Schizosaccharomyces pombe: one gene and its partners. The gene in region 4 interacts genetically with the main gene of each other region. Each region holds a gene or a part of one and is shown on either strand. Other genes may lie near its edges. The genes, in order: rrp8, pmc3, tls1 and pof7.

The links.
Region 1: mutations in pof7 (region 4) and rrp8 together harm fitness less than expected from each alone (positive genetic interaction), as found in Schizosaccharomyces pombe (one large-scale study listed by BioGRID).
Region 2: mutations in pof7 (region 4) and pmc3 together harm fitness less than expected from each alone (positive genetic interaction), as found in Schizosaccharomyces pombe (one large-scale study listed by BioGRID).
Region 3: mutations in pof7 (region 4) and tls1 together harm fitness less than expected from each alone (positive genetic interaction), as found in Schizosaccharomyces pombe (one large-scale study listed by BioGRID).

What each region holds. Positions count from the first base shown.
Region 1 is NC_003424.3:1,136,941-1,144,871, forward strand, and holds rrp8 (rRNA methyltransferase Rrp8), read left to right. Parts: upstream 1-3,668; 5' UTR 3,669-3,680; coding exon 3,681-4,637; 3' UTR 4,638-5,062; downstream 5,063-7,931. Other genes in the region: dolichyl-phosphate-glucose--glycolipid alpha-glucosyltransferase Alg10, read right to left, coding at 1-791; protein ema19, read left to right, coding at 1,626-2,177; UBA domain protein Mud1, read left to right, coding at 2,190-2,393, 2,508-3,302; methylenetetrahydrofolate reductase Met9, read left to right, coding at 6,175-7,931. UniProt on the Schizosaccharomyces pombe protein: S-adenosyl-L-methionine-dependent methyltransferase that specifically methylates the N(1) position of adenine in helix 25.1 in 25S rRNA. Required both for ribosomal 40S and 60S subunits biogenesis. Required for efficient pre-rRNA cleavage at site A2.
Region 2 is NC_003424.3:4,488,756-4,492,442, forward strand, and holds pmc3 (mediator complex subunit Med27), read left to right. Parts: upstream 1-1,650; 5' UTR 1,651-1,780; coding exon 1,781-1,855; intron 1,856-1,892; coding exon 1,893-1,956; intron 1,957-2,081; coding exon 2,082-2,159; intron 2,160-2,205; coding exon 2,206-2,627; intron 2,628-2,676; coding exon 2,677-2,859; 3' UTR 2,860-3,187; downstream 3,188-3,687. Other genes in the region: sorting and assembly machinery complex subunit Sam50, read right to left, coding at 29-1,351, 1,433-1,537; tif471 (translation initiation factor eIF4G), read right to left, coding at 3,338-3,687. UniProt on the Schizosaccharomyces pombe protein: Component of the Mediator complex, a coactivator involved in the regulated transcription of nearly all RNA polymerase II-dependent genes.
Region 3 is NC_003424.3:635,053-643,567, forward strand, and holds tls1 (splicing factor Tls1), read left to right. Parts: upstream 1-4,339; 5' UTR 4,340-4,358; coding exon 4,359-5,123; 3' UTR 5,124-5,346; coding exon of another isoform or gene 5,347-5,895; 3' UTR 5,896-5,944; coding exon of another isoform or gene 5,945-6,132; 3' UTR 6,133-6,228; downstream 6,229-8,515. Other genes in the region: CwfJ family splicing factor mug161, read left to right, coding at 17-183, 297-1,124, 1,182-1,262, 1,333-1,907; peptidase Oct1, read right to left, coding at 1,971-4,259; grh1 (GRASP family protein), read right to left, coding at 5,347-5,895, 5,945-6,132, 6,229-6,349, 6,396-6,575; autophagy associated protein Aut12, read right to left, coding at 6,833-7,079, 7,166-8,460.
Region 4 is NC_003421.2:2,368,622-2,377,003, reverse strand, and holds pof7 (F-box protein Pof7), read left to right. Parts: upstream 1-3,666; 5' UTR 3,667-3,924; coding exon 3,925-5,010; 3' UTR 5,011-5,490; downstream 5,491-8,382. Other genes in the region: U3 associated protein Utp25, read left to right, coding at 926-2,884; SPOM_SPCC70.10 (uncharacterized protein), read right to left, coding at 5,644-6,111; protein mug9, read left to right, coding at 7,214-7,355, 7,412-7,896; SPOM_SPCC70.08C (methyltransferase), read left to right, coding at 8,368-8,382.

The DNA of each region.
Region 1 (7,931 bases), on a different chromosome or scaffold from region 4:
CACAGAAAGTAATTTATTTGAGATAAATGAATGCTTGCTTGATGATGAGATTTGTCGCCTAAGACAATACTGCCATTCCAAAGCAAAAATGCAAGGAAGGAACAAAATACTGCACCATAGGATAGAATTGGGCACGAAAATCTTCTTAAATTTTTAAGAAAAACCCCTAAGAATGAAATTATAGTAAGAAGAACATCAGCAAAAGTTGCTTCAGCTAAGTGGGGATTGAAGAAAGACATATTGCTAGCAAAATATGTAACTGCAATAAAGACCATCCAAACGATATTTGTCTGTCGAAACCATAGAGAAAAAAAACAAGACACAGAGCTTGAAAAAGCAGACTTTCGGAGAGCAAAGTCATAAGCAAGAAGGACGAAAAAAGTACTACCAATATCAGTGTAGTATAAAAATGAGAAAAACCATAAAGGAGGTAATGACGATAACGTATAAGCGAAATAGGTAACAACATCTCCTTTCCTATTATTCAAAAGAGAAACGATATCGTTTATAAGCCATGGCAGTCCAATTACGCCTACAAGCCAGTTTATTAACCTCAGAGATACATTGCTGCAGCCTATAAATGGGCTGAGTGCGACTGAAACCAAGTATAAACCAGGAGGTGTAGTAATCGCCGGATCCCAATCCCAATCTTTTCTACAAAAGCGTTGAGCTTGTGCAATATGGAATATTTCATCCAAGTAAGGATTAGGAACATAGTATTGTATAGCTAGAAGACCTGTAAAAGCTAGAAAAATCCATAGTATTAGAATTATAGCTTTTCCAAGAAACATTGTCTGTGTTTTGGGTCTTTAATGAAAGTTTATAATAAACGAATAAAGAAAATCAGGTTTTGATAAAGGGCGCACCTTTTACAAACAGCTTTTTATGTTCGCTTGTTTTAGACCCTATAACACAATTTCCAAAACAAACGATCAACTTTTCGAAAGGTGTGAATTAAATTTCGCTGAGGTTGTTGGCAGGAAGTTTGGAATTCAAATGCTTACAATATAGCAAGAGTGGGAGAACAATGTTTTTACATCAAATTAATTGAATTTCATGATTTTATTATTAGTTATCTAGAGAAAGATAGCATTCTAAAAACCATTCAACATTATGCACACTTAAGTACGAAATGTGACGAGTCTGTTTTTTATATTTAGGCTGCTAATTGCATCATTTTTTTTTAAAAGAACTGATAACATTGAATTTCATTTAAATTTTAATACTTGATAAATTTCATAGTAATGTGGTCTAACATTATCATGTACATGAAGGCAATTAAGCGGTAATACTAACTAATTAATGAAATCTGCCTGAGGCTTTTTAACTTAATATTGGCACACAAAATTACTCGATATACTGATTACCACCAATATGAAACTAAACAATCGTCTTCCTATTGCTTGTAAGTGTAACATCTAACGTATTGTTTTTATAAAACTATTTAGACGTAGTGCTCTAAAACAAACACGATAATACATTATTAAGTAACGTATATAGAATACGCAGAGAAGCAGTTGTTATTAAAAATACTAATAACTTTCAATGTCACCGTTTAAAATTGTAAAATTGTTTTCTATAGCAATTCAAAATCTCTGAATGAGGAATATCAATGTTTTGGGTTCATGAAAGTGGTTTCATTACGCCGCATTTATAGTAGTGAGATATACAAATTGCCAACCACACGCCTTCACATGGATACCTTGTATTACTATTATTTCGTAAGCCATCTAGCTGCAGCATTATTTGTTGATTTACCTATAACTGAATGGCTTGGAGGCTCTTTAAGCTGTCTTTCTGGTTTGCGACGCTTTTATTTATCTACATATGAAGACCCTATTCTTTTAATCCCTGCGCCTTGGAAAACTGCATTGTTTTCTTCAGAACTTTTCTTTCAAGTTCCTTTTTTTATTTGGGTTTCTCTACGCTTACGAAAGAAAGCGAGGGATCCAGTTTTATGGGTTGCAATTCTCATATACGGGGTGCATGCTTTTACTACGACATGGTGCTGCATGTTCGAGTTATTTGCTGAAAAAAAATGGATGATAATGAGTTTTTATTTTCCTTATTTGGCCATTCCTTTATGGATGGCAATTGATATGGGTGGCCGATTAGTCAAGTCGTGTCATGCTGCCAAATCAGGTCCTTCCTCTACCATAACCTCAAAGAGTGATTAAGAAAACACAAAAATGAATAATTTAACACCAGAAAATATTCGTCAAACGATTTTAGCAACTCCTTTTCTATTAAATCGAATACGCACAGAGTTTCCTCAACTAGCTGCTGTCCTTAATGATCCCAATGCGTTTGCTACTACATGGCAGTCCATTAATGCTTCTCAATTATTGCAGATTCCTTCTTCTACATATTCGATGGGAATGCCTTCATTTTCTGTACGTTTAATTTCGCATAATAGCGCCCGTATAAACTGCTGAGTCCAATAATTTAGTTTTAATGGACACAATAAATAAAGGGCTTTCGAAGGTGATTTACTAACATTTTTGTAGGAAGATGACCTCTTTGATGTTGAAGTCCAACGACGTATTGAAGAGCAGATTCGTCAAAATGCCGTGACCGAGAATATGCAATCGGCAATAGAAAACCATCCTGAAGTGTTTGGTCAAGTTTATATGCTTTTTGTAAACGTTGAGATTAACGGTCATAAGGTGAAAGCATTTGTGGATTCTGGTGCTCAAGCTACCATTTTGTCTGCTGATTGCGCTGAAAAGTGCGGTCTTACCAGGCTTCTTGACACTAGATTTCAAGGTGTCGCTAAGGGCGTAGGAATGGCTAAAATATTAGGTTGTGTTCACAGTGCACCTTTAAAGATTGGCGATTTATATCTTCCATGTCGATTTACTGTTATTGAAGGTCGGGATGTTGATATGCTACTTGGTCTTGATATGTTACGCCGTTATCAAGCTTGTATAGATTTAGAAAATAACGTTCTTCGGATTCATGGAAAAGAAATTCCTTTTCTTGGAGAATCTGAAATTCCAAAATTGCTGGCTAATGTGGAGCCATCTGCAAATGCACACGGTTTAGGTATTGAACCTGCAAGTAAGGCGAGCGCTTCTTCACCTAATCCACAAAGTGGCACTCGTCTTGGTACCAAAGAAAGCGTAGCACCCAACAATGAGGGATCTTCCAATCCCCCTTCCTTGGTAAATCCTCCCACTGACCCCGGTTTGAACTCCAAAATTGCACAGCTAGTCAGTATGGGATTTGATCCATTAGAGGCTGCGCAGGCGTTAGACGCTGCGAATGGAGATTTAGATGTAGCTGCTTCTTTTCTCCTTTAACGACTTAATTCGATTTCGGGGAGATTGGATATACATAATCAATGATTTTAGTCATGATAAAAATTAGGGAAATGATTATTTTCAAGATCGGTCCTGTTCTACTATTGTAGACGAATTCTTTCAAATTAATGTGTTTTATATCATTTTTTATGTGTTTTGTATCAGAAAGTAAAAATTCTATATATATGCGTAATTGCTTAATCAAACTGAGTTTTATATTTCAAGATTAGTTTTTTCAAGTATTTGTTATTTTAATTTTACGTTCACAAAAAATGAATGTTATTTATTTTAATACTTAGAAACTTTTATGGTTTCATTGGTTTGACGTACGTAGGATGAAGTTTTCTTACAACCAAATTTAATCTTATTCCCTACTTCATGTTTAAAGTAGATTGGGACTTAGGTCCAGTAAGTAAAAGCGCATCAGACCAAACGAAAGAATCTAGAAAAGAAAAAAAAAGAAAGAAAGGTGAGAGAAAGAATGTAGGAGATAAAGGCGAAAAGCTCAACGAAAAAGTTTTAAAAAAGGCAAAGTCGGTTACCACAAACAATTCCCTGAAAAGCGAGATTAAAAAAGAAAAATCAGTCCCTTCTATTAAAGAGAAAAACAAGGGGGATGCTAAGCATACTAAGTTAACGTCTCTTCAACAAAAAATGAAAGATAAACTAGATGGTGCCAATTTTCGATGGATAAATGAACAATTGTACACTACGGAAAGTGACAAAGCTGTACAAATGTTCAAGGAAAATCCAGATTTGTTTGATATTTATCACGCTGGTTTTCGATATCAAGTTGAAGGTTGGCCGGAAAATCCTGTTGATATTTTCATTCAACATTTAAAGATCAGATTTGAGCATTCAAACGCAAAGAAGAAAAACAATATTGTAATTGCTGACCTCGGTTGCGGAGAAGCTAAAATAGCTTCTACATTTAGAAAATCACGTTCTTTGCAAGTGCACAGCTTTGACCTTGTTGCTCCCAATGAACATGTGGTAGCCTGTGATATTGCGAATGTTCCAATGGCTGACGAAACTGTCGATATTGCTGTATTTTGTTTAAGTCTTATGGGCACCAATTGGCAATCTTTTTTGAAAGAAGCTTATCGTATTCTTAAAGTCGGTGGTTTACTTTGGGTTGCTGAAATCAAAAGCAGATTCTCTGATAAGAGTGGAGAAGTTTTTGCTAAAGAACTTCCAAAATTAGGCTTTGAAACTAAGTCCATTCAGCTTCAAAACAAAATGTTTACTCTGTTTGAGTTCAAAAAAGTACCTGTACACGGGAAATGTGAAGAACTCCCTCCCATATTAAGTGCTTGCATTTACAAAAGAAGATAAACAAGGTATTGTTTAGGAAAGAACTGGTCTTTCGGTATAAGAAGGTTTGGGGCTCTTGTATAATAGGTTTTGTTTTAAATTTTGGGATAATATAATATTAAACGTTTACTCTTTGTCAATCGGAAGACGGACTAACGGAAGAACGATAGGTTTATCAATATCGCATGAGAAAATAGGTTATATATTTCAGAAATAACTGTTTCGTTAGAGCTGTGAATATTCGCAAAAGCAAGCAAGAGTCACAGGCTGTGTCTAATCGTTGATAATGAAAAATATAGCTATACCAAAGACCCAAATGCTACATTCTAATTGATGGAGTAATCTATTGGCTGGCTTGTCATATCAAATCATTCATCATTTATTTTGATAGTGCATGGGTTAGACTTTGAGTAATTATTAGATTTTTTTTTAGAATATTAACTTGTGCTATATTAGCATCCTATATTTGATATGTACCTCTAACTTGTAAGTCAAAATTCACATTGAAACAAAAAGCAAAATTCGTTTATTTTTGAAGACAACATTACGAGTATCTTGTGAATCGATAAAACATTTGAATTTAATCCATCGCGGTCAAAGAATAGAAAGAATTTTCCATCCAGTATATTAGTAATTATTAATTATAGGTAGCTCCAGCAACTTATTCATGTAGCACACATATTTAGTTGCCTTAAAGGATGAAACAATGACCAAATGCTTCATTTTTTTTAGCGCTTACAAACTTACAAAGTCAATTTTTTAAAATTGCGTGAACTCTTCTTTCGCGAAGCGAAGGCTGGAGACTACAAATGATATTCATTGAGCACGAACACGACTTTGGTTTAAAAAATGGTACATGAAAATTATTACCAGAATGGGAAATGAGTAGCGTACTAAAACATTTGTTTGTCAACAATACTTGAATTAAGTAACGTTGTGAGTACTTTAAAACGCATTTAAATTGCAGCTATGAATTTTGCAAGGAGGGAAATGATCATTTTTAAATTGTTCAATCATATTACGTTTGGTATACCGATTCGACGTTTGTTTTATCTTCTTCCTTGTAATGAATATTATGCCTTAGTATGTTTGTTAAATAATGTCAGCAATACTGCACTACGATATGACAACTACGTTGCGTATCACTATATGTCACATGTTCAACATCATATCATAGATATCCGTTGATAACTATTTAGAAAGATTGTAAATAGAGCTACTGCTGAACCTCGTTTCTGAGTTCAATTATGAGCTATATTAGTGATAGGTAACATTATAACCCAGTTAATACAATACCTATACTCAGTTGCTACTCAAACAACCTGTTTATTGTAATATAAAAGATCACAAGGAAAACTCGCCGCAGTTCTACGTATCCTTAAATCAGATACCAAACTGCGTAGCTGACAGTTTAACGTATATTAAGGTTTATAATAATAGCTCATTAACGACTTATTACGAGGCAAAACCATGAAAAGTGGAATGAAAACGAAAAAAAAGACTTTGCCAAGAGCCCGCTATTTTGTCAGTAGTTCATTGTTGAATTTGAGAGGTAAAAATGAAAATAAGTGACAAATTACTTCACCCGGATTGGAAGGAAAAAGTTACTTACAGTTATGAATTTTTTCCTCCAAAAACGAGCACTGGTGTCCAAAATCTTTACAATCGTATAGATCGCATGAAGACTTGGGGTCGTCCCATGTTTGTCGATGTGACTTGGGGTGCTGGTGGTACTTCTTCAGAACTGACTCCTGGAATCGTTAATGTAATTCAAACAGATTTTGAAGTGGATACTTGCATGCATTTGACTTGTACGAACATGTCCACAGAAATGATTGACGCAGCTTTGAAACGGGCTCATGAAACAGGGTGTCGTAACATATTGGCCCTTAGAGGTGATCCTGTTAAAGATACAGACTGGACTGAAGGCGAAAGTGGATTCCGGTATGCTTCAGACTTAGTTAGATATATTCGCACACATTATAATGATGAATTCTGTATTGGTGTAGCTGGCTATCCAGAAGGATATTCACCAGATGATGACATTGATGAAAGCATAAAGCATCTGAAATTAAAAGTCGATGAAGGTGCTGATTTTATCGTTACTCAAATGTTTTATGATGTAGACAATTTTATCGCATGGGTCGATAAAGTGCGTGCAGCAGGAATAAATATCCCTATATTTCCGGGCATTATGCCTATTCAGGCATGGGATTCCTTTATTCGGAGAGCGAAATGGAGCGGTGTTAAAATTCCCCAGCATTTTATGGATACTCTAGTCCCAGTTAAAGACGATGATGAAGGAGTCCGTGAGCGTGGTGTTGAGCTCATAGTCGAAATGTGCCGTAAGCTTATAGCTAGTGGCATTACGAGACTTCATTTTTACACTATGAATTTAGAAAAGGCCGTTAAAATGATTATTGAACGATTAGGTTTATTAGATGAAAACTTGGCTCCTATAGTGGATACTAATAACGTCGAGTTAACCAATGCTTCCAGTCAAGATCGTCGGATAAATGAAGGTGTACGGCCCATTTTCTGGCGCACTCGTAATGAAAGTTATGTCTCGCGTACTGATCAGTGGGACGAATTACCGCATGGTCGTTGGGGTGACTCTCGTAGCCCTGCTTTTGGCGAATTTGATGCTATTAGATATGGTCTTCGTATGTCTCCCAAGGAGATCACAACATCGTGGGGGTCTCCTAAATCTTACTCGGAAATCGGCGATTTGTTTGCCAGGTACTGTGAAAAAAAGATTAGCTCCCTCCCTTGGAGTGATCTTCCCATATCCGATGAAGCCGACTTGATTCGGGATCAACTTCTAAGTATGAATAGAAACGCTTTCCTTACTATAAATTCTCAACCTGCTCTTAACGGCGAAAAGAGTTCACATCCTGTTTTTGGATGGGGACCACCTAATGGTTATGTTTTCCAAAAACCATACGTTGAGTTTTTCGTTCACCCCTCACTCTTGAATGAACTCAAAGAAACCGTTAAAAAGCTTAATTCAGTTTCCTACTTTGTTACAAACAAGAATGGAGACTTGGATACCAACTCACAATATGAGATTCCAAATGCGGTTACATGGGGTGTTTTCCCTAATCGTGAGATTATCCAACCTACTATTGTCGAGTCAACCTCTTTTCTTGCTTGGAAAGATGAAGCCTATTCATTGGGCATGGAATGGGCTAATGCATATAGCCCTGATTCAATTTCTCGTAAACTTTTGGTTTCTATGATGAAGGAATGGTTCCTTTGTGTCATAGTTGATAACGATTTTCAAAATGGGCAATCTTTGTTTGATGTTTTTAACAA
Region 2 (3,687 bases), on a different chromosome or scaffold from region 4:
TAAAGTAAAAAGTTAAAAAGGAAAATCATTACATGAAATCGATACCCGCGCCGAATTGCAGGCCTTTACGACCGATATCCTTTTCGGTAGTAGCGATTGGTAAGGTAAAGTTCAGCTCGAAACGCGCAGCGGGAGTTGCATAGACTAAACCTAAGCCTGTAGAGATACAAGGCTTAGAAAGTATTGATTTGTATGTGCCACATGGATTTGGAGAAGTCAAATTCGATAGCCCTCCAGCATTCGCAAACAACTGTAAGCGAAATGGTTTAGAAGCATCAACTTTTGGCAAAGGGAATAGCAAGCTCATGGAGAAAGCCATATATGCGGTCCCGCCTAAAGAATCCCTGCCATCTTTTGGACCTATACGGTCTTCTGAAAAACCACGAAGGCTAGTTGAACCGCCTAACATGAAACGATCACACAGACTGACTTGCTTCTTATTTAGACTATGCAATGCTCCAATCCGGGCGGACAAAGAAAGAGAAACAGACCTAGAAGAATTTAAAGCCACAGCTTTTTGACCCCAGAATTCTGATTTTAGAAAGCTCGCATCTCCTGGAAGAAATCCGAACCCAGCGAGCTCTAAAGTCTGCCTCACATAATCTCCCTTCGTGGGTATCATAAGATGATCGCGTGTATCGCGTGTATACGTATAGGAAAGAGATTGTTTTAATGAATCACCGGCCTCAAGTCGTACGCTTGGAGAAGCATATTCAGTGAGATGAGTAACTTGCCTCCACAATAAGTTTTGTGAAAGTAAATGCTCGCCAGACCACAGATCTTGATGCTGCAATGAAAGCGTAATTCCTTTAGTAAGTAAGTCATGGCTCGAAATAGATTTATTGTCTCTCAAGTTACTGTGGCCATTGAATCGTAAACGGGTTTTAGGATCTGCGTTTACTGGGGTCTCAAAGTTCACGGACATGGTAGACCGATTACGAGTTCCATATGAAACGTTACCAGAAAGAAGTTCAGCTCCTCCAAAAACATTTCTTGCAAGAACATTAGCATGTACATTGCCTTCAACGTTACCAACATCAGTGCCGGTTTCTACATATAAACGTGGTTTCTCTTTTACTTGAATGGTAACATCAAGATCATCATCTCCAGAAACAGAAGAGCTAGCACGATCTATTTTAATATTGGCAGTTTCATAAACGTTGAATGCCATCAAATTCCCAGTAGTTTCTTGAATAGCATTTAATGTTTCAAGCAAAGATCGACTTTTGGCCGGTTTCGACGTATCCAAACATGTTTTCAATACTTTGCGAATGAAACTTGGCCTAGTATGATGTGCACCAGTAACTCGAATGGAAGAAATACCCACTGGCAAAGTGCTATTTTCTGCCAACTGATTGATGATGGTTAGTATAAATTATGGTGAATTAAAAAAAAAATAGAGACGAAAATTAGATAATAAAACTTAACTTACAATTTCAGAAAGGCTCTTAAATGTTTCCTCAGCTGAAAGTTTGCTTTCTTCGTTCACGGCGGGAATGTCAGATGGAAAAGAAGTTGACTCAAATTGTTCGGTCATATTTTCAAATTTCCTATATTTTGAATATAATAACAATCTTCTTTCTCAATAGCACTGGGGTTGAATTATTTTTTAAAGGTTTTTAGATGAATGTAAGTTCGTTAATGACAGCCGACATCTTACCATCTACTATTTGGATGTGCCGATTTTTGAATTCTCTCCATTTACCATCAATATTTATTTAATATACGCATTGTTAATTTTTTTTTCATAATTATTTTAAGTTTGTTAAGGCTACCAGAAATGTCATTAGAAGAGCAGCGTACAAGAGATGAATTAAAGCACAAGCTATTGGATTTAAATCAGCTTCACGAACAGGTTTGTCTAATTTCAGAAGACATTTTATTAATTTTAGCTTGCTGAATTAAGAACTATTTGTCCATCCCTTTTAAAATTATTACATCCTGAAACCGGCACAAGTAAGTAATTGTTTAAATAACTAAATTCTTTAAGAAAAACGAGTTAAAGTTTACACTAAGGGAAAATGATATGATGATTATCTTTCATATTAAATTTAAATTTTGCTCGAGTACTAATTAATTAGGTCGGAAATTTGAGAAAAGTGCTCAAGAAGCGATTGAAAAAGTAAATTCCTTTTATACACATCTTAAATCCAGTCAAAGTATGCATGCAAATTATTTTTAGCTTAAATTTTTGCTAATTAACAGACGTTTTTGATTATGCTGAAAAGTCTTTACAAGCCGATTCCTCTAATTTGCTCCCTACTTATTTATACAATTCAGAAGATTTGTCTAATGATACCGAAAATAATGAAACAAAATCCATTAATGGGAAGTCTGCATTAGACTTAAAGGAGCCGCATCACAGTGAATTGCATGATAATGACAATTTCCAAAATTCGGATATAAACATAGAGTCTTTTAAAGGTGATATTGAGGCTTCAGGGTCTATTCTTACAACGCATGAAAACAAGTCTTTCACTTTGAAACTAGCAAACGAGCTAGAGTTTATTTTCTTTCATGATACTAGGGGGAAATTTAGTGTTTATTGTTCATCTAGCAAAGACGATGCTATTACTTTTTCAATTAACCGTAACAACAACTTCCTTGGAAATTTATGGTCTCTTATGGTATGTGTTTTTGAGGTTGTTAGACAAAACCTCTGCTAACCGTGTGTAGCCTAAAATACTTGATTATCAGCATCTTTATTCTAAGCCGTGTGACTTTTGTAAAAGTCTCATTTCTCCTGTGTACCTGGAGCTTCCTTCTGTTCGAAGAAACGCAAACTCAACAGTGAAGCCTACTTCTAAAGATATATTAGCGTTACATGCAGAATGCGTGCCGGCTCAGTCAGATTTGTGAAACACTAATTTTGATATTCAAATGAAATAAGACGTTCATAATTGCCATTTTTGCTTCGTTTTGAGCTTGAGTTACAATTATCACTTTCAAAGAAGTGCATTTCAATCACATGCAGATGTTGGAATAAACTCAATGTCTTCTGACTCCTTGATATTTATAATTTCCAAATCTTGTTGGACTACTCAAGCCTGTTCTACAAACTTCAAATACCTTAATATATCATGGTTTTGTATACTAAAAATTCAAAAGTACTACTCTTTTAGTGATATAGATACTGTAAATTGGGCTATGCGTAACTCAATGAATGAAATTAAAATTTTCCAAAGCATTTCTCAATTACAATGTAGAGAATGTATTACCTTATACTATAAAGTCCATTTCCCGTTAACCCTGATAAATGATGGATTCATCCATAGCAAAACAATCAAAACAAACCAAAAGATGAAAGACTTAAATTACAGATTCAAATCCGATTACTTTACGAACTAGTTTTTGAGTTAGAATCTTTTTGACCCCCATCATTATCATGGTCATGCTCTTCAAGTAATTCGAAAGAATTAGCAGAAGTAACCGCGACGTTAGATGGTGGTGCACGAACAGACTGTTCCCTTCTTAAGGCACTGTTTTGACGAGAAGGCGTTCTACTAACGCTTCCACCTTTAAGCATTGAACTCAAACTTGTGGGACCGTGAGAACCCTGAGTACCAGATTTGAGACCTCTTATACCTTGTCCAAGTCTAGCATAACCATCTTTGTTATTAGACCAATCACTAGAGCTAAATGGTGGATTGCTTCCTCGACCGCCCATCCGAGAATCACCACGATTCA
Region 3 (8,515 bases), on a different chromosome or scaffold from region 4:
ACATAGATTCGAATAGGCTGGTTATTGGGTCTGCTGATGGGCGAGTTATTGAAGCTATCGAGTATATTGCTGATCTTCACAAACAGCATGGTTTTAAATTTGCTATTTGTCTTGGCAATTTGTTTTCCCACAAGCGTACAACTAGTGCGGACGTTGTTAAACTAAAAAATGAAAAAGTAAAGGGTATGATTTTGAATGGCCGGTTTTATCGAACGAGAAATTCTTTTCTTTAATGCTTTAATCACGATTGATAAATCTTTCTTCTTATTCATTCTTGTTGCTAACCTGAGCTGTAGTTCCTATACCAGTCTATTTCGGGGTTGGTACTGCTGGTTTGCCAGAGTCCATTATTTCGCATATGGCCATGTATGGACCAGAGGTAGCACCTAACTTGTTTTGTATGGGTATTTGTGGGTTTATGAAAACTTTTTACAAGTTTACAATTGCTCAACTTGGTGGATCTTATAATGAGGAGAAATACTACCAACCTCCCGAAAAATTTGAGCAAAGCTTAAATGAAAAGTGTTTTCATCGAAGTGATGTACAAAAGTTGTCTAAACGTTGTGACATTTTGTTCAGCTCTGAATGGCCGGAGGACGTACAAGAAAACTCTACTCTCCCTGAGAGAAAGTTGCCTAAAGGTTGTATGCCGTTAGCTGCACTAGCTGCTAATTGTATGCCGCAGTACTTTTTTGTTCCTGGGCCAGTTTACTACGAACGTGAACCCTACAAAAACTCTGCCGCTATTAATGTTAACACTGGTACTGTCACTCATTTCGTGGCTTTGGCCCCTTTCAAAAACTCCAAAAATGAGAAGTTTTCATACGCTTTTACTCTCTACCCCTTGACAACTGAGTACATGCAGCCAGCTCCTCCTAACTGTACTGCTTCTCCATTTGAGCATAGGCCAATTCCCTTAAAGCGTGCTTCAGAAGATCAAATTATTCCCCAGCAAACAAATAAATTCCATAAATCTAAATCAAGCACTGCTCTCTTTAAATCTAAAAAAGATTCTAGCTCGTCCCTCAACAAAATGCACAAGTCAGAGTCACATAGTGCACTCAATAATTTGCACAAGTCCGAATCAGGCACTTCGCTCAATAATAGACGGTCTAAAGTTGGACGTGAGTTCCGCTTCTTATCTCTGCGTTTTTTCCACCGTCACTAACTTCTTTTCTCAGCCGGGTCATGCTTCTTTTGTTTGAGTAATCCAAATGTTGCACTTCACTTAATAGTCGCTATTGGTAACGAAGCTTACATGGGTACGTTTATACACTCCAATGTTTGCGACACGCTGTTTAAATTTTACTCTTTTTTATACTAACGACTCAGCGTTGCCCAAAGGCCCTCTTACTACCACGGCATCGAATACCCCAGCTTTAGCTTCCTCTGGTCATGTTTTGATTATACCAATTGCGCATGCTTCTGCTTTAAGTACTTTGTCGGACACCTCATATGAGAAAACTTTAAATGAAATGAATCGATTTCGTAAAGCTGTAACTGATATGTACAATGCTTGTGATTCCGATGCTTTAGTATATGAAATTAGTAGAGCTAACGGAGTTCATTTGCATTGGCAAATGATTCCCATCCCCAAGATTTCCTCACATCGTATTGAATCAGTCTTCCTTGAAATGGCAAAGGAAGCTGGTTACGACTTTGAGGAAAGGGATGTAGAACCTCATGAGCTGAACTATTTCCGTGTATTTCTACCCTCTGGAAAAATCTTAATTCATCGATTACAACTAAGAGAACGATTTGATTTACAGTTTGGGCGACGTGCTGCTGCAAAAATTTTGGGTCTTGAGGATAGGGTTGATTGGAGAAAATGCGTTCAGACAGAAGATGAAGAAAAAGCTGAGAGTGAAGCTTTCAAAATGTGTTTCAAACCTTACGACTTTACATAAATTTAGTATTTCATTATAATTCATAAATAAATTATTTAAATTCATAACTGGAACATCATTCCATTAAAAGGTGGACGTCGCTTTAATACCTTCACTTCCTATTCGACGCATGGCCTCTTCGCCGCCCGTTGCTAATATAGGTTGTTCAAGGGCTTCTGCAACACATTCCCATGGGCTTCTACTGCCACCCCATCGTAGGATGGCTTTACGAAATTTCTCACCAGCCTCACGGCTTAATGGATTTCCAGCAAAAAGTTTACTAAAGATTAGCGAAGCCAATACCGTATCAAAAATGTATGAATAATAAGTAGCGCTATATCCATAAAGATGACTAAACTGAAGATACCAAGCAGCAGGTGGAGCAGACTCAAACCCACTGAACTTTCTGGTTACATTAGTAACTTCATCGATAGAATTAAATGACGGATCTAAGACAACCTTCGAGTGAAACAATTGATCCACCATAGCCATACAAATTTGAGATTGTAAATCTAAGGGTGCTGAACTATTTTCAACCATGTTATGATGGTTCAAAACTTGTACAGGTAATGGAATCTCAGTTCCTTCGTAGCGAGCATAAAGCGGTAATACGGCTGGATTTGACATAAAAAACTCCATAATAATTGAAGGAAGTTCAACAAAGTCGGTTGCACAACGAGTTCCGGCTAAGTTCTGATATTTAGTATGACCTAGAATGGAATGCATGGCATGCCCCATCTCGTGAAAAAGTGTTTTCACATCCCACAAATCTAAAAAGGTAGGATCCATTCCACTAGAACGTACGAAATTACACAATAACGAAATGACAGGTATTTGATACCGTTTGTTATCCTTGACCCTTATATTAGTAGCATCATCAAATCCAAGACTTATAGAATCGTCAAAGCTTGTCAAGTCTAATTCCCGAGAAGAACGAATTGTAAAATGAGCAGCTCCATCTGTTTTTCCTGTTCGAGCAAATAGATCGAAATAAATTACACCCATTACATGATCATTTTCATTGTAAACATTGACCTTATTTACATCAGGATGCCATACCTCACCAGGGGAAATGTCCGCTGGAACAAAACGAAGCCCATATAAAGAACTAAATAGTCTAGATAGACCTTGAATAACTGTACCAACAGAAAAAAAACGCCGATAATTCGTTATAGAAGGGTTTAAAGAAGGCTTTTGATTTATAAGAGATTGTTTATAGCGAGCAGTATAATATTCCCTGTCCCAAACATCAAATGATGGAAGAAAATTCAAGTTTAACTCTTTTTTCTTCATTAACGCGAGATTGTTTAAAATCTTTTTTAACACGGAAGAATTTTTTAATGATAAGTTCTCTAAAAATTCAACAACATGTTTAGGAGCATTAGCCATTTTATCTATAAGTTGTAAATCTGCAAAACTACTTTTTCCCACTAGTTTCGCAACTTCCGCTTTAGACCTCAAATAGGAATTTAGCAATTCGACTTCTTCAACTGTTCCTTTATGACCTTCCATGTAAATTTCTTTCCTGACGTCGGGATTTGCTACACTAATCAAGGCCTGTGTACCTTCGTATCCAACAGTTGGAATCATAATAAAGTTTTTGTCATTCTTAGAGAGTGAGCGTACAAAATATGGGTCCGAACCAGCCAGACGTTGCTTAGAAATAGTTAAATAACGCTGAGGACGATTCATGCTATTATTAAAAAATGCTCTTCCAAGAGTTGCAGATTCAGAGGACTTTTTAACAAAGGAGTTTCTTTTCGAGCTCTCTAAATTTACGCCCGATTTTTCAAAATCTTGGAGGAATACTCTTCCAACAGTATATGCTTCAGGATCTGTATCTTTCAACGTAGGAGTCTGTTGTAAAGAACACTTTAATTTTTCGTAAAGACCTTGATGAGTGTTTAAAGTGTTCATCAGCTCAAATAGATAACTGTAAGCTTCTTCTGCTTTCATTACCACCATCTTGTCAGGATGGGCGCAGCGCACAAACTCAAAAAGGTCAATGACACTGCATAGTAAGTTAGAAATCCTGTCAAATTTGCTGACTACAATTGACCCGTCTTCAGTATCCTCGAGCAAAAGATCCTCAATCACGGCCTTACATTTTTCAGATGCAGTTTCCGCGAGCCTTAGGAAGCCGGTATCTTTGTCGGAAAGGAAGTGATTACGAAACAATCCTACTCCCTGAATTCCATTTCTTTTCGTTATCTGGTTCACAGCTATATTCTGATCATCAAAAATTTGACGCAACAATTGGTCTTCCGCTTTGCGACTTTGAACATTAGAATATTTTCGATAAAGACTAAGAATGCACTGCCTATTTCCAATTACTTTTTTTTTTCCCAATGTAAGCAAAGTTCTTACTTGCATCGTAATATGCGACAAATTTTTGGTACATGTACAGGCTATATGAATGGTATATATTTCCAGGAGGGTTTACTTGAAATACCAACCACAAAAAGTATCCGCATGAATAGTATACATATAAAAAAGAAAAGCAATCGATCGTTCAGAAGAAGAAAAGTTTTTGGAAATGAAAAAGAATTTGATTTAGAAGAATTAGATGATAATGATATTCGTCTACGGCAAGCTTTGGAAGCTACTAAGAGGCGAAAAATTAGAAATTCGATTATCGGGATAAATGCTGAAAAGTTATTAAATCAAGAAACAAAAAAAGAGAAACAATTGAACACTGCTAATGAGCCTCATGAAGCTAATGATCAGACCTCAGCTCAATCGTCGAAACTTATAGAGGCGCAACTTCCAACCGTCGAAGATAGGTTTGCTAAACAAACAAACGAGGTTGACATCAACACGCATTTATTAAACTTTGTTGAAAAAAAACTGAAACAGGAAAGGTTGGCCCAAAACTACTCAGAAAATGGAGAGACTAATGCACTTAATACAAAAAATGAATCGACGGTACAAAACATAAAAAATTCCTTACATCCAAATGAACATTCATTTATTAGAGATGCAGCTGCTCTTGGTGCTATACGTGAAGTAGATTTAGGGATTATTAGTACCGACGTTGATAATTTGAAAAATGGTCGGAAACGACAAAAAAAAAGAGCAAGAATGAAAGAAAAACTAGACTCGAAGGCTCTTCGCACCTCTGAGGACGCTGCTCGGGATGAATTTATTGAAAAAATGTTAAAACCGATATCCCAAGATGAAGAAAGTAAGGGAATCTACAGGCGTTTTCGCGTTTACAAGGATGGAACTCAGGATTAACGATAATAAAAAAGAAGCAACAGTTTGGCAAGGTTCATTAATTCAAATTATTTATTACATTTTTTGAGTAATCAATTCGGATAAAGAGGTTTGTTTGTGTTTTATAAAATCCTTACTCAAAACCTCAAATGTTTATTTATCAAAAATATAGTTTTGTAACTTTTAATCATTATGGGCATTAAAAAGAGGGCTTTTGCTAGAAAAGACGAGCTTAACTAAATAACTAATTTTTCACAAGTTCTTCATTTTGAGGCGCTGATTCATCGTTTGTTGAATTAACAGCGACAGGAGGAGGAGGAGGCAAAGGAGTTGTTTGGGAATCGTTAGTAGAAGAAGCGTCTTTGGTTTTATGATCCAATTCTCTGCTTAGTTTTTCTTCTTCATCTAAATATGATTGAATAGAAGAATCTTGGATAGCGCCTTTATGAGACTTCTTATGTCTTTGATAGTGCGGGATAGATATTTCATTGCTAGATCCAGCATTAGCAGAAGCGATTTTAGGTGGTTCTGGAGTAGGCAAAAAGTTTTCAGTTTCACTGGGCTGAGACACTTTATGATCTGGACCCCCCAGCATGGGATTTGAAAACACAATGTCCCCAGGTTGTGGAGGAGGTCCTGACAAAGGAGCGGGTAAGCGATGCAAGACGCCATGTCCAACACCACATCCAATAGCTCCATTACCTCCCCAATGACGATTTGGGACAATGGTAACTTGACGAGTGGAGTCGCGATAATGATTGTAGATATACAGGCGTAAGGGTCTGTTGAGATGCTGTTAAATTGTTAGTCAAATAATTTATCTTAGCACATAATTTACATACAGACTCAATTAGGTCTGAAAGCGCTTTTTCTCCTGTCATCATTCCTTCAGGAGTTCCGACGATATAATCTTCATACGGAACAAGGCTAGCTCGTGCAACAGGAGAATCGTCTATAACATTCAAAATATGCCAAATGGCATCCACGGCAGGAGCGATTGATGCCCACTGTAAAACCATGCCAATTTTTTCTGTAGTCGTTAGAAAATTTATTTGTATTCAATAAGCGTTCATAAAAATACATCCAAAAAAGATATAAGAATCGTTAACCGCAGCTAGAAACTTACCGTCACTGTTAATTTTAATATTAACTTTCCTCGTAATTTGCCCTTTTAAAGAAAATACTTCTAAAGTTACTTCGGGGGAAGAATCACGAAGCAAAGCCATAAACATTGAAGGGTCTCCATTCTGTGAAAAACACTTTAGTAATGATAAAACTATAATCAGTTCATACCAGTAAGATCCCATTCACTGCCGTTATAAAATCGTAATAAGACTCAATTCTGGCATTATAGGCTTTCGAATCGTTTTCAACCTTTAATACTCTGAAACCACATGATTCATCTGATTCTCGATGAATACCAGCTAAAGCTTCTGATTTTTCTTTAATAAAGTTCTTTAAACCACCAAACATTTCGATTGTTTAGTACTTAAATAGGGTTGGTGGTGATTTAGGTAATGGCGCGGTTGACTCGCTATGATATTAAGTTCATACAGTCGGAAATTTATGTGAGTAAAATGATGCTGATATTAATAAATTAAAACAAAAAAAGGAAAAAGAAAAATTAATAAAGCTGTTGGAAGCAATCACCGCTCTTTTAAATATTTTACTGTCAAAACATCATAAAAAATAAAAAGAAATGAATTTCATTAAACTTTACATGCTCATTATCAAAACGAAAGGTTTGTTTGTATAAATAATCGATTCTCCTCCCTTCGTATCCATCTCAAAATCTTATTAACATTTGCAATAAGCAGTTGACTGCTAGTGGTAGCGTTAGCAATACAATGAAAGTCGAACGATGCAGTTGACCACGTGAATAGAAGCAAAGATTCATGGACAGTCATATTAATTGAGAAAGAATTTTTTTTGTGAAATGCCTGGTCGTGTAAGCTAGCATAAATAGCATAAAGAGTTCTAAAAACATAGTTAGCAAAGCAAATGAGCCCAAAGATAGCGATCGTATTGAAATTGTAAAGAAAAATAGATCATTGTATACGTACCTAGTATTGAAATTGGGAGTTGAAAATGAATAGCCAGGAGTATAAAACTGTGAGTATTTCTTTGAATAAAACAAGTAATGTGAAATACAAGGAGATCCGGGATTCCTTGGCGTAGTTCTATCCATTTCTTCACAATAAATGAGCTTTTTCAACCATCCATGATCCTGAATTTCCTGAGCAACTTTGCATTTCACTGATTGCATTTCAAAAAAGACACCACTTTCGCTGCTCCCCATTATCAAGACAGTGTCCTTACATAGGAAATAGCTATAAATGTAAATATAAGCATCTGGATTTAGAGTAGGAAAACAAACAGGCACCCAATGCTCCATTGAATCATTAAAAGACTGTGTGCGGAAGAGTGATAGGAAAAGTAAATAGAGATCATTAGCATGTAATAAAAGCTTCTTCGCCTTAACCATACAAACAAGCCGACCTCGTATAGCTATAAAAGTAAACAGCAGAGATTTGGGTGTTTCTCTCAACAGCAGTTGCGACAGCTGATCACGAAAAGAGGAACGTAAAGGAAGAGGAGATATGGCATTCAATGTGGGGACTAATTCATAATCATTAAGTTGATCACATAGTTCTTTTAGGAACTGCTCGTTGCTTCCAATAAGTCTTCTCAAATCAAAATTTGGGCGGGAGTTTAAGGTCAGCTGCATAGCTTTCGCAGTAACCCCAGTAAGTATTTGGCAATATAAGAGGTTTAACTCACTGAGTAAATATGCTGCGCTTAAAGTTGTCGATGGCGATACGCCAACAAGATAAAGAGGATTTTTGGAGAGAACAACGATAACATTGGAAAAGGTAGAAAAGCTTGTTAGCTCTTCTTTCGACACTTCGAAAGAGCTAATAATTGCTTGTAACGCGCCAACGGTTGATGGCTCAATTGAATCATCAACAATGTTACTAAACACGGGCTTCCCTGATGAAGAGAATATCAAATATGTGCGCTTTTGTTTTGCCAAATCAAAAGATATCAACGAAAGTAGTTTTATAATTTCATCAACAGCCGTATTGTTACTACTGCTCGATACTGAAGTGCTTACATTAAGCGGAGAGGAATTATCATGCAATATATCAGAAAGTAATTGTTCAACGTTTTCCACGTGGCTTCGCAATTCTGGTGTAGACCTGCTTACTTCTTGATCATCCTCTGACACCGAAGGCGCTGCCATTAGAACATTACCAGGGTTTAACAGCAGTGATCCACATTCCGACTCATGAGATCTATGAACGTTATCATTTTCCACTTCCTCCTTGATTGATGAATGCTCAGATGTTGGTTCCATCAACTGGCTGTTTTCATTAGTGGGATGGATTGAATAAGGAGGACTGTAGCTGTTG
Region 4 (8,382 bases):
TTTTCCTTAATTTAATATCCTTTTTCTTTAACATTCAACACATGTTGCATATATCAATCTGAATCCAAATGCTTTTAAACGCATTTTTTACTTTAGATTCAGAATCATGCTATTTTTTGTCATTGAATGTGTTTCTTTAACTTTTGCTTTTGGATTTGTACTACCTTTTGATTTTTAGTTATATACAGAAAGGCTCAAGGGGCCTATTTGTTCTTAACAAGTCAGGTTTTATTATGAAGGTTACAATTTTTAGGAAATAATCTTATTTTGTGGAACTAATTATGAGTTGCAGAACTTGGCGAATTTGAATTTGGATTCGGTTAACCCCAAGGTGGTGTTTTTTTTTTTTCAGCCCTACTTTATTTCAGCTTTTATTAATGTATCGTTGGTTTTGGCTTTTTAAAGGCTGTTTTATTTAATTAAAAAAGTTTGTGTGGACCATAACCGTCATTTACTATAAGCATTGCAGTCTATGTAATTTCCTTACCTTTTTTTGAAACGGTTTGAGAAAAGATAAATTTTTAATCGGTCACTATGAAACATTTGTTGGCAGACTGCCCACAATCTTCCGTGTCCGAGTGTCTGAAATTTCTGTAGATGTAGCATGCATATAGTTATACTCTAGGTTTTGTTCTTGCTTAAGCGCTATTTATTTTGTCTTTAATAATAATAATAATGATAATATCAATTAAACTTTGTGTTCGGAAGTACTATATTATAAAATGATTAGCTTCTTGCTGATTTGCATTTTTTTTCGCCTACCACTGTTTACAGTTGAAAATAACCAACTACTTTTGGGGTACCGAAAGCTGGAAAATTTACGAGTATTTTCTTCGAGATATAATAAAAATATTTTGAAAAAATATTTTGTTTATTTCCTCTTTCAGCTGTTAGGCTATAACTTGATTTCATCAAATTTGCGAATATGGCAATTGAAAGTGATTTAGACGGTGCCTCGATGGATGAATTGGCTGGAAAGTCTTATGAGGCTTTATTATATCTTATGAATAAAAATAAAAAGAGAAAACCTGAGAAAAAAGATGATAAAGAAAAGTCATCGAAGAAAGTACAAAAAAAGAACAAAGTTATTGAAAGTTTAAATGAGATGGAAGTTGAAATGGAAGATGAAAATGAAAACGAAAACGATGAACAAGAAGCAATACAATATTACATCAATGTTGAATCTCAGGATGCCGATGAGACTTTGCACCAAGAAGCTCAAGATTCATCTGAAGACCCATTTCATCAACACTTCGATTACGATGACTCAGAAGTCATTAAAAATTCTATTGCTGCTTATGATGAGGGAAAGTTATGTAAGTCTATAGAGGAATCCAAACTTGGAGTGTCACAATCGTTTTTTCCGGATGTGACCAAGAGATTGCCTTGCTCGTGTCTTAGCGAAATAAAGAATATTGATGATTTGGGACTAAAGCAGAGGATATTGGACTCCTATAAAAAGCAAAAGCCATCTGGGCAACTTACATCCATGCAAATTGAGTTAGCGAAAGCAATGTTCAATTATCAAGATGTATTCTTTACTAACATGTCCATGAAAAGCCATAAGTTAGGGACTTCACTCTTGGCGCTTCATGCTTTGAACCATGTATTCAAAACAAGAGACCGTGTTTTAAAAAATAGTGCTCGCATTTCTCAAAATCCTGAATTAGAATTTCGTGATCAGGGATACACCAGGCCTAAAGTATTAATTCTTTTACCCACAAGGAATAGTGCTTTTGAATTCATTAATTTACTTATTTCATATTCTGGGACTAATCAAGTAGAAAATCGAAAGCGTTTTGATAATGAATTCTCGATTGAAAAAGAAGTCATTTCAGAAAAAAAGCCAGAAGATTTTCGTTATCTTTTTTCCGGAAATACCGACGATATGTTTCGACTGGGTGTTAAATTTACAAGAAAAACTGTCAAGCTATTTTCCCAGTTTTACAATTCTGACATTATAGTTGCTAGTCCTTTGGGACTTCGTCTTGCTATTGGTAACAAGGGAGATAAAAAGCGAGACCTCGATTATTTGAGTTCGATTGAAATAGCAATGGTTGACCAAGCTCATGCTCTCGTGATGCAAAACTGGGAACATATTGAATGCATTTTTGATGAACTTAATGGTTTGCCTAAAGAAGCTCACGGTTGTGATTTCAGTCGTGTTCGTCCTTGGTATCTTGATCAGCAAGCCAGATATATGCGCCAAACTATACTATTTTCTCAATATAACAATCTAGATATAAATTCTTTCTTTTCTCACTACATGTCAAATATTGCTGGTAAGGTTAAATTTCGCTCGCTTCTTCACGGTGTTTTAAACCGCTTGGGGTACAAAGTGACTCAAACTTTTGTTCGCATTTCTGTCGATTCTATTATTAAAGTTCCAGATGCCCGCTTTTCCTATTTTACTGGTTCTATACTAGTACAACTAAAGAAGTATTCCCAGAGTGGTATTTTAGTTTATATACCTTCATATTTTGATTTTGTTCGTGTGAGAAATTACATGGATGAGGAGGGAATTAACTATTCTGCCATATCAGAATATTCGAGTGTATCCGATATGACTAGAGCCCGCAATCTTTTTTATCAAGGTAGAACCAATATAATGCTATATACTGAGCGCGCTCACCATTTCCGTCGATTTGACTTTAGGGGTGTAAAAGCTGTTGTGATGTATGGTCCCCCAACGAATCCTCAGTTTTATGTTGAACTTGTTAGAATGCCGATGAGAACCATCTCTGAAGGAAACCTTGACAGTGATGCAGCAAAGTGTAGAATTATGTATACAAAGTTTGATTCTATTTGCCTGGAAGGCATAGTGGGATATCAGCGTGTATCAAACATGTGTCATGGTAAACATGAAGTTTTTGAATTTCTTTAAAAGAATACGAAAAAAATTTTTTTAAAAAGGAATTAGGGGTCATTTGGATTTTTGGATGAAAGAGCTACAAAATTACTACTTTAAAACAATAGAATAGCTTAAAATGTACTTTATTTGGACCATTCCGCTTTGCTTTATTTATTGAGAGCGAATGAGTAAATAGCTACTTGAATGATTTAACTTGACAGTGCTTTTTAAATGTTTTCAATATATAATTTTTTTTATACTTATTTCAAGATTCATATAGCGATTGGAAGGCATCGTACATTATCAATGAGTTTGGTTTCGACTGTGTTCCCGAAACCATATCTAAATCTCAATTGCTTTTGACGAAGATATGCTGAGAATTATCCGAAAGCAAAGCGGGATATGTATCTACTCGTTTATTAACAATAAAAATCGCTATCATATTCACCATAAATAAATGCAGTAATGCTACATGAAGCTGGTAATTATTACAATAATTCATCAAATCGAAATGTTTTCTATATCGCTAAAATCCTAATATCCACTTAGCTTATTGCCAAGTAACTTTTGATTTGAACAAGTTTTAAGTTTATGTAATGGTTTCGCAAGTCCTAACGCCTTGTTAGAAGTGATAGAATCGAAGACACCTACAAATATGCCCATAGCCAAATAGCATCTCAAACATGTTACAATATTTATCTAGTCCATTTTTTAAACAGTAAAGAAGCGACGATTGACTCAATTTAATCTTCTTCTTCTTGTTATCAAACCGCCACAACTTGATATTAAACGCAACGGCTAACTACCCATGAACTAAACCATATTGTTACCAAAGTAAGGTCTTGTGAAAGGATGCTTTTAATCCTTAAATCCTTGTTAATACTTTGCTAGGAATTGTATGAAAAGTAAAAAACATAAAAGTCATTAGTTAGGTTCAGCACTATCTTAACCTCTTAATATTCGTGTTGAATTCTTTTTTTTTTTTTCTATTTTGAGAGAAATAAGTAAGAAAATATTTTCTTTTTCAATTATACATCTACTTTCGATTGCTCGTCTGAGAAATAAAATAAGTGATGAGTACAGTAGAGGATCAACTTTCTCTTGAACTTGAAACAGTGAACAAGGATATACTGTTGAAAAAAGCACTTTTACATTACAAAGATGCTATAAAATCTGAAAGAGAAGGAAATTTAGGTGAATCTCTTAATAAATATCGATTAGCTCATAAAGTCCATGAAGATGTGGAATCTATCTATCGGCGTTTGGAGCGTTTGCAACTGTGTAAAAGAAATGAAGAGGAGGAAATGTTAAATTCAGATGCATCAGAAGCTATGCTCACTGTTTCCTCAGTCCCATCTCCAACGTTAACGGAAAATGAGTCTGTAAATGAGTCGGTCGTTCCCAATATACTGAAGCTTCCCGACGAGGTTTTGCTAGTTATCCTAGAGAATTGCATTAGGGACCTTCATGATTTAAGATATCTCTCTTCAATTGCACTAACTTGTAAGCATTTTGCGAAGGCATTACGAGCAGATTCTCTATATAGATCGTTTTGTTATTGCAGTTGTGAACAAAAAGAATGGCAACAGTCTATTAAGTCAATAGAGGAAGAACTCGTGGAAAAATACCAGCAAAGCTGGAAGACTTTGTTCCTTAAAAAGCCTCGATCTCGTTTTGACGGATGCTACATATCCGTTTGTCGATACTTTCGACCTGGAACTAGTGACACGAGCTGGAACCAACCCATACATTTGATCACATACTACCGGTATTTACGACTTTATCCTAATTCAACATGTATCGTTTATCAAAGCAGTAATGAACCAAATGATGTTGTTCGCAACTTCAGTGTGCAAAACACCAGTCTTTTTTCTCCTATGTCGAGTTCTCCTATGTTTAGTAATGGAAACGTAGCACTCACTGGCTCCTGGTCAATGACTCCTTCTGGAGAAATGCTAATTGTGTATCCCGCAAGTCAAACTTATACATACGTTCAAAAACTTCAAGTTCGTGGAATAAGGCTTAAGTGGATTTCTTTCTACTCCATCCATAATTATACCTCATTCACGAACGAAATGCCACTCACTCACAATCGTGACTATGTTTTCTCCAGAGTATATAGCTATACTGCTGACTCAGAGTCACTAAAACGTGGCTAGTCTTACTTTTTGGAATACTAATTTAGAAACCGCGGAAATGATTAATTATCTATTATAGGTCGCATCGTGAGAGGATTTAAAGAAATTATTTTTTATTAATATTAATGCCATCATTATTCTTCGCATGGAAATATATCATTAACATACATTTACAAATGAACAACAGATGCTTAACAAATTTTTGGAAGTACAAAGTTATAAACAATCCTAAGTCCAAGGAAACATGCGTGATACTTGAGGAGAAAAGAGTAAATAGAATGCACAAAACTTAAAAAATAAAAGAGGAAAACCCACGAAATGGAATATTAAACGTATCAGTTTCTTGAAGTCCAGATCGAATATTCATAAAGAAAACCATAAAACCATTCGTAATCATGTTCGTAAAAAATCCCTGCTTTTTTACCACAAATAAATAAACTAAAGGCAACATAAAAAATCGCCATATCGAAGCATTGAATGACAAAAGTAAAACATGGAGAAATATCGGAGAGCAATAATTCAACATGAAGATTCCGTTTTAAAGTTAACAAACGGATTTATTTTGGATAATAAAATTAAAGTAAATTAGTTTCGTAAAGAGAAAAAGAGAAAGGATTAACGAAACTGTAGAAAATCGCTCATTTCTATTCAAAGCTAAACCATTTCCTCTGGAGGTCTGTAAACTGGTGGTGGTGAAGCTGGTCGTTCGTGATTTACAGCTTCGGTTGCTGCAGGGCTTGCTTCATTTTGGGGTGTATTGCTTGCAGTAGCAGCTGGACTATATGGAGGTGGGACTTCTTCAGGCAAATTTTCAGAAACGGTAGTAGTTGTATTCGGGTGTGCCATTACATGTGTATACCGAACAGAGCCACGACGAGGTGAGCCAATTGGAGATGTATATACAGTTGCAGGAACGTATGCAGACTGGGGAGATGTAGGTGAACGGCGAGGAACTGCTGTTGCGCCAGGCCTAGCGCGAGCTTCTGCCATGGGGCGTGTAGTTGCTGGTTTGGTCTGTCCAGCCCTTGCCTGTCGACGGCGAACAAAAAATCTATTGATCGCCATTCCAATAGCCGCAATTAAAGCTGCGATGACAAAACCTGCAGCGACAATGAAAAACATATTCTATTTAATGCAAAAGAAAAAATGTAAACCGAAAATCAACCTAAATCCCGTAAATAATGAAAATTTGTAATTAGGGTTGTGATGTGGAAAGGATAGATACTGTGGTGTTGTAGCGAGGCTTATTCACCATATCAAGAAACTTATCAATTTATCGCTGTTTTAAATAAAAATTACCTATTTTCTTTAAAGAAAGAATAAATTGATAATACTGAAGCTTATATGCTACCGCGCAAAGAATTCATCGCTTTCTATGAATTGTTGAAGGATAATGAAATCATTGAACTGACCGTTGAAATTTTGTTGACGAAATAGCGTTGTTATGACCGTATCGTGAATTGAGCCATTCAAAATTTAGTTCTTTAACCTTCTGTTAGAATCGACAAGAAGTTTCTAAAACGGAGCCTAATTAATTGCTAATCGATGAGCGATATCGTAGAGAACAATACTATTAAACAAACAGGAACCAACAGAATTAGAAACTCTAAATAAATAGAATATCAAAGAATACATATTGGCAACTTATTTGATTTCGAAAATAGTCAAGGGTGACCGCTCAAGCAATGAGTATTGAAAAAGATGGAAGCTTCTAGGTGCTTCAACATTGAACAGGAGTATCTAAATATGATTTAAAGAAACATGTGATAGTATTTATTTGCAATTAAGGAACAAACTGAAAACTGCAATCGTTCGGCTGAAAATTACTCGTTTTATCCACGGTATACAAGTACAACATTTCAAACTGTTCAAGAAACATTCGTTCTGATATATTGTAAAAATTTATTCGTTCAAACTTAATGAATTTTTATTTTTACAACATTAAGAGTTCAATTCTTTCCTTTTAGAATACTCGGATCATTGCCAACAAGTAAAATTCAAAACAAACAATTTGAGGTCATAACAATTCATCGTTTTTATAACATCTTAAAAACCTGAATGTTGGTTGTTCGTAAGTTGGGCTTCATTGATTTTTAGAGGATTCGTGCTAGCACCCGCTCTGAGTATAATTAAAACGCGCGACGCGGTTTCAACCTGCCTTCAACCACACAGTTTCTAAAGTTTTATTTATCCAGGAATTGATTGAATTTTAAAGTCAAACGCAATGAGAAAGCAAGCAGGTGGTCCTTGTGAGAAACTAAACTTTCCTTTGGTGGAATTGGAACCGTATGCACGGGTAAATCGGGAAACCACTAAACTAAACAAAGCGCATGTCCGTCGTGATTATTCGGGAAGAAGTATTTGTCGTAAGTTGTCACATTTTATAATCTTACTTCCATGTTCTCACTAACATCCTTTCCAGAGCCGGATACGAATAATCCCACCCGGTGGAAGTATGAACGACCCTTAGAAACCATACGCGCTTGGCAAGACGTCGCAGAGGGAAAAGTTCCTGCCAGTAATGAGAAAGCTGCTCGAGTCTCAAATTTGAAAACTGTGCCATCCTTGAAACGTGAAAACAAGGAAGTTAATGCAAATTCGAAACCGCCAGTGAAACAGCAAGAGGTGATAGAATCAACTGTAATATCGAAATCTCAATCGCCTTCTGTTAAACAATTGAAACTTACTGAATCAACTCTGTTGGCTCCTTCAAGCTCCTTGAAACCCTCAGTGAGCTTAAAGAAAGACATTTCTTCAAATTTGCTATGTGCGGCTGCCAGTAATGGTTATTTTCGCAGACCTGCAGCCATGCGTGCTCAAACATTAGTCCCCATTACCCAACCTGATTCCAAAAAGAATGAACTTAAACAAAAGTTCAAACATCTGGTTCATCATGTTTTGACTTAAATTAATGCTTGTATTCAAACAGTGCCTATATGAAGACACTATAGAAACACAAACTTTTTTAAAATCTTATAATGATTTCTTAACTTTTATGAAACCAAATTTAATGTACTGCTTCTTGTTTTATGACCTTGTGAAACGATATCTATTTATTTATTTCTTTAAACTGTCTTAGCGAAAAAAATCATTTTAAACTACATCTATTTCAACTTCTTTCTCGGATTTTATTCTTAAAAAGTCACCTCTTCCTGTTCAAAAGAAATTTGGAACCCCTAACCTTTATTGTTTCATGCTGTTTCTAGTTATTTGAACTACATTTGAGAGCCGATGATATTGATAACATGATAATACTAGAACCACGTTAACACCGTATCTAAGATTCATCTTCAATATAAGGACAACAATTATTATTATATATAGAAGATATTTTTTTGTTACTAGTTCGTGAATTTTTTATAAATTTCAATCATCATAATGCCTGAGGATTAC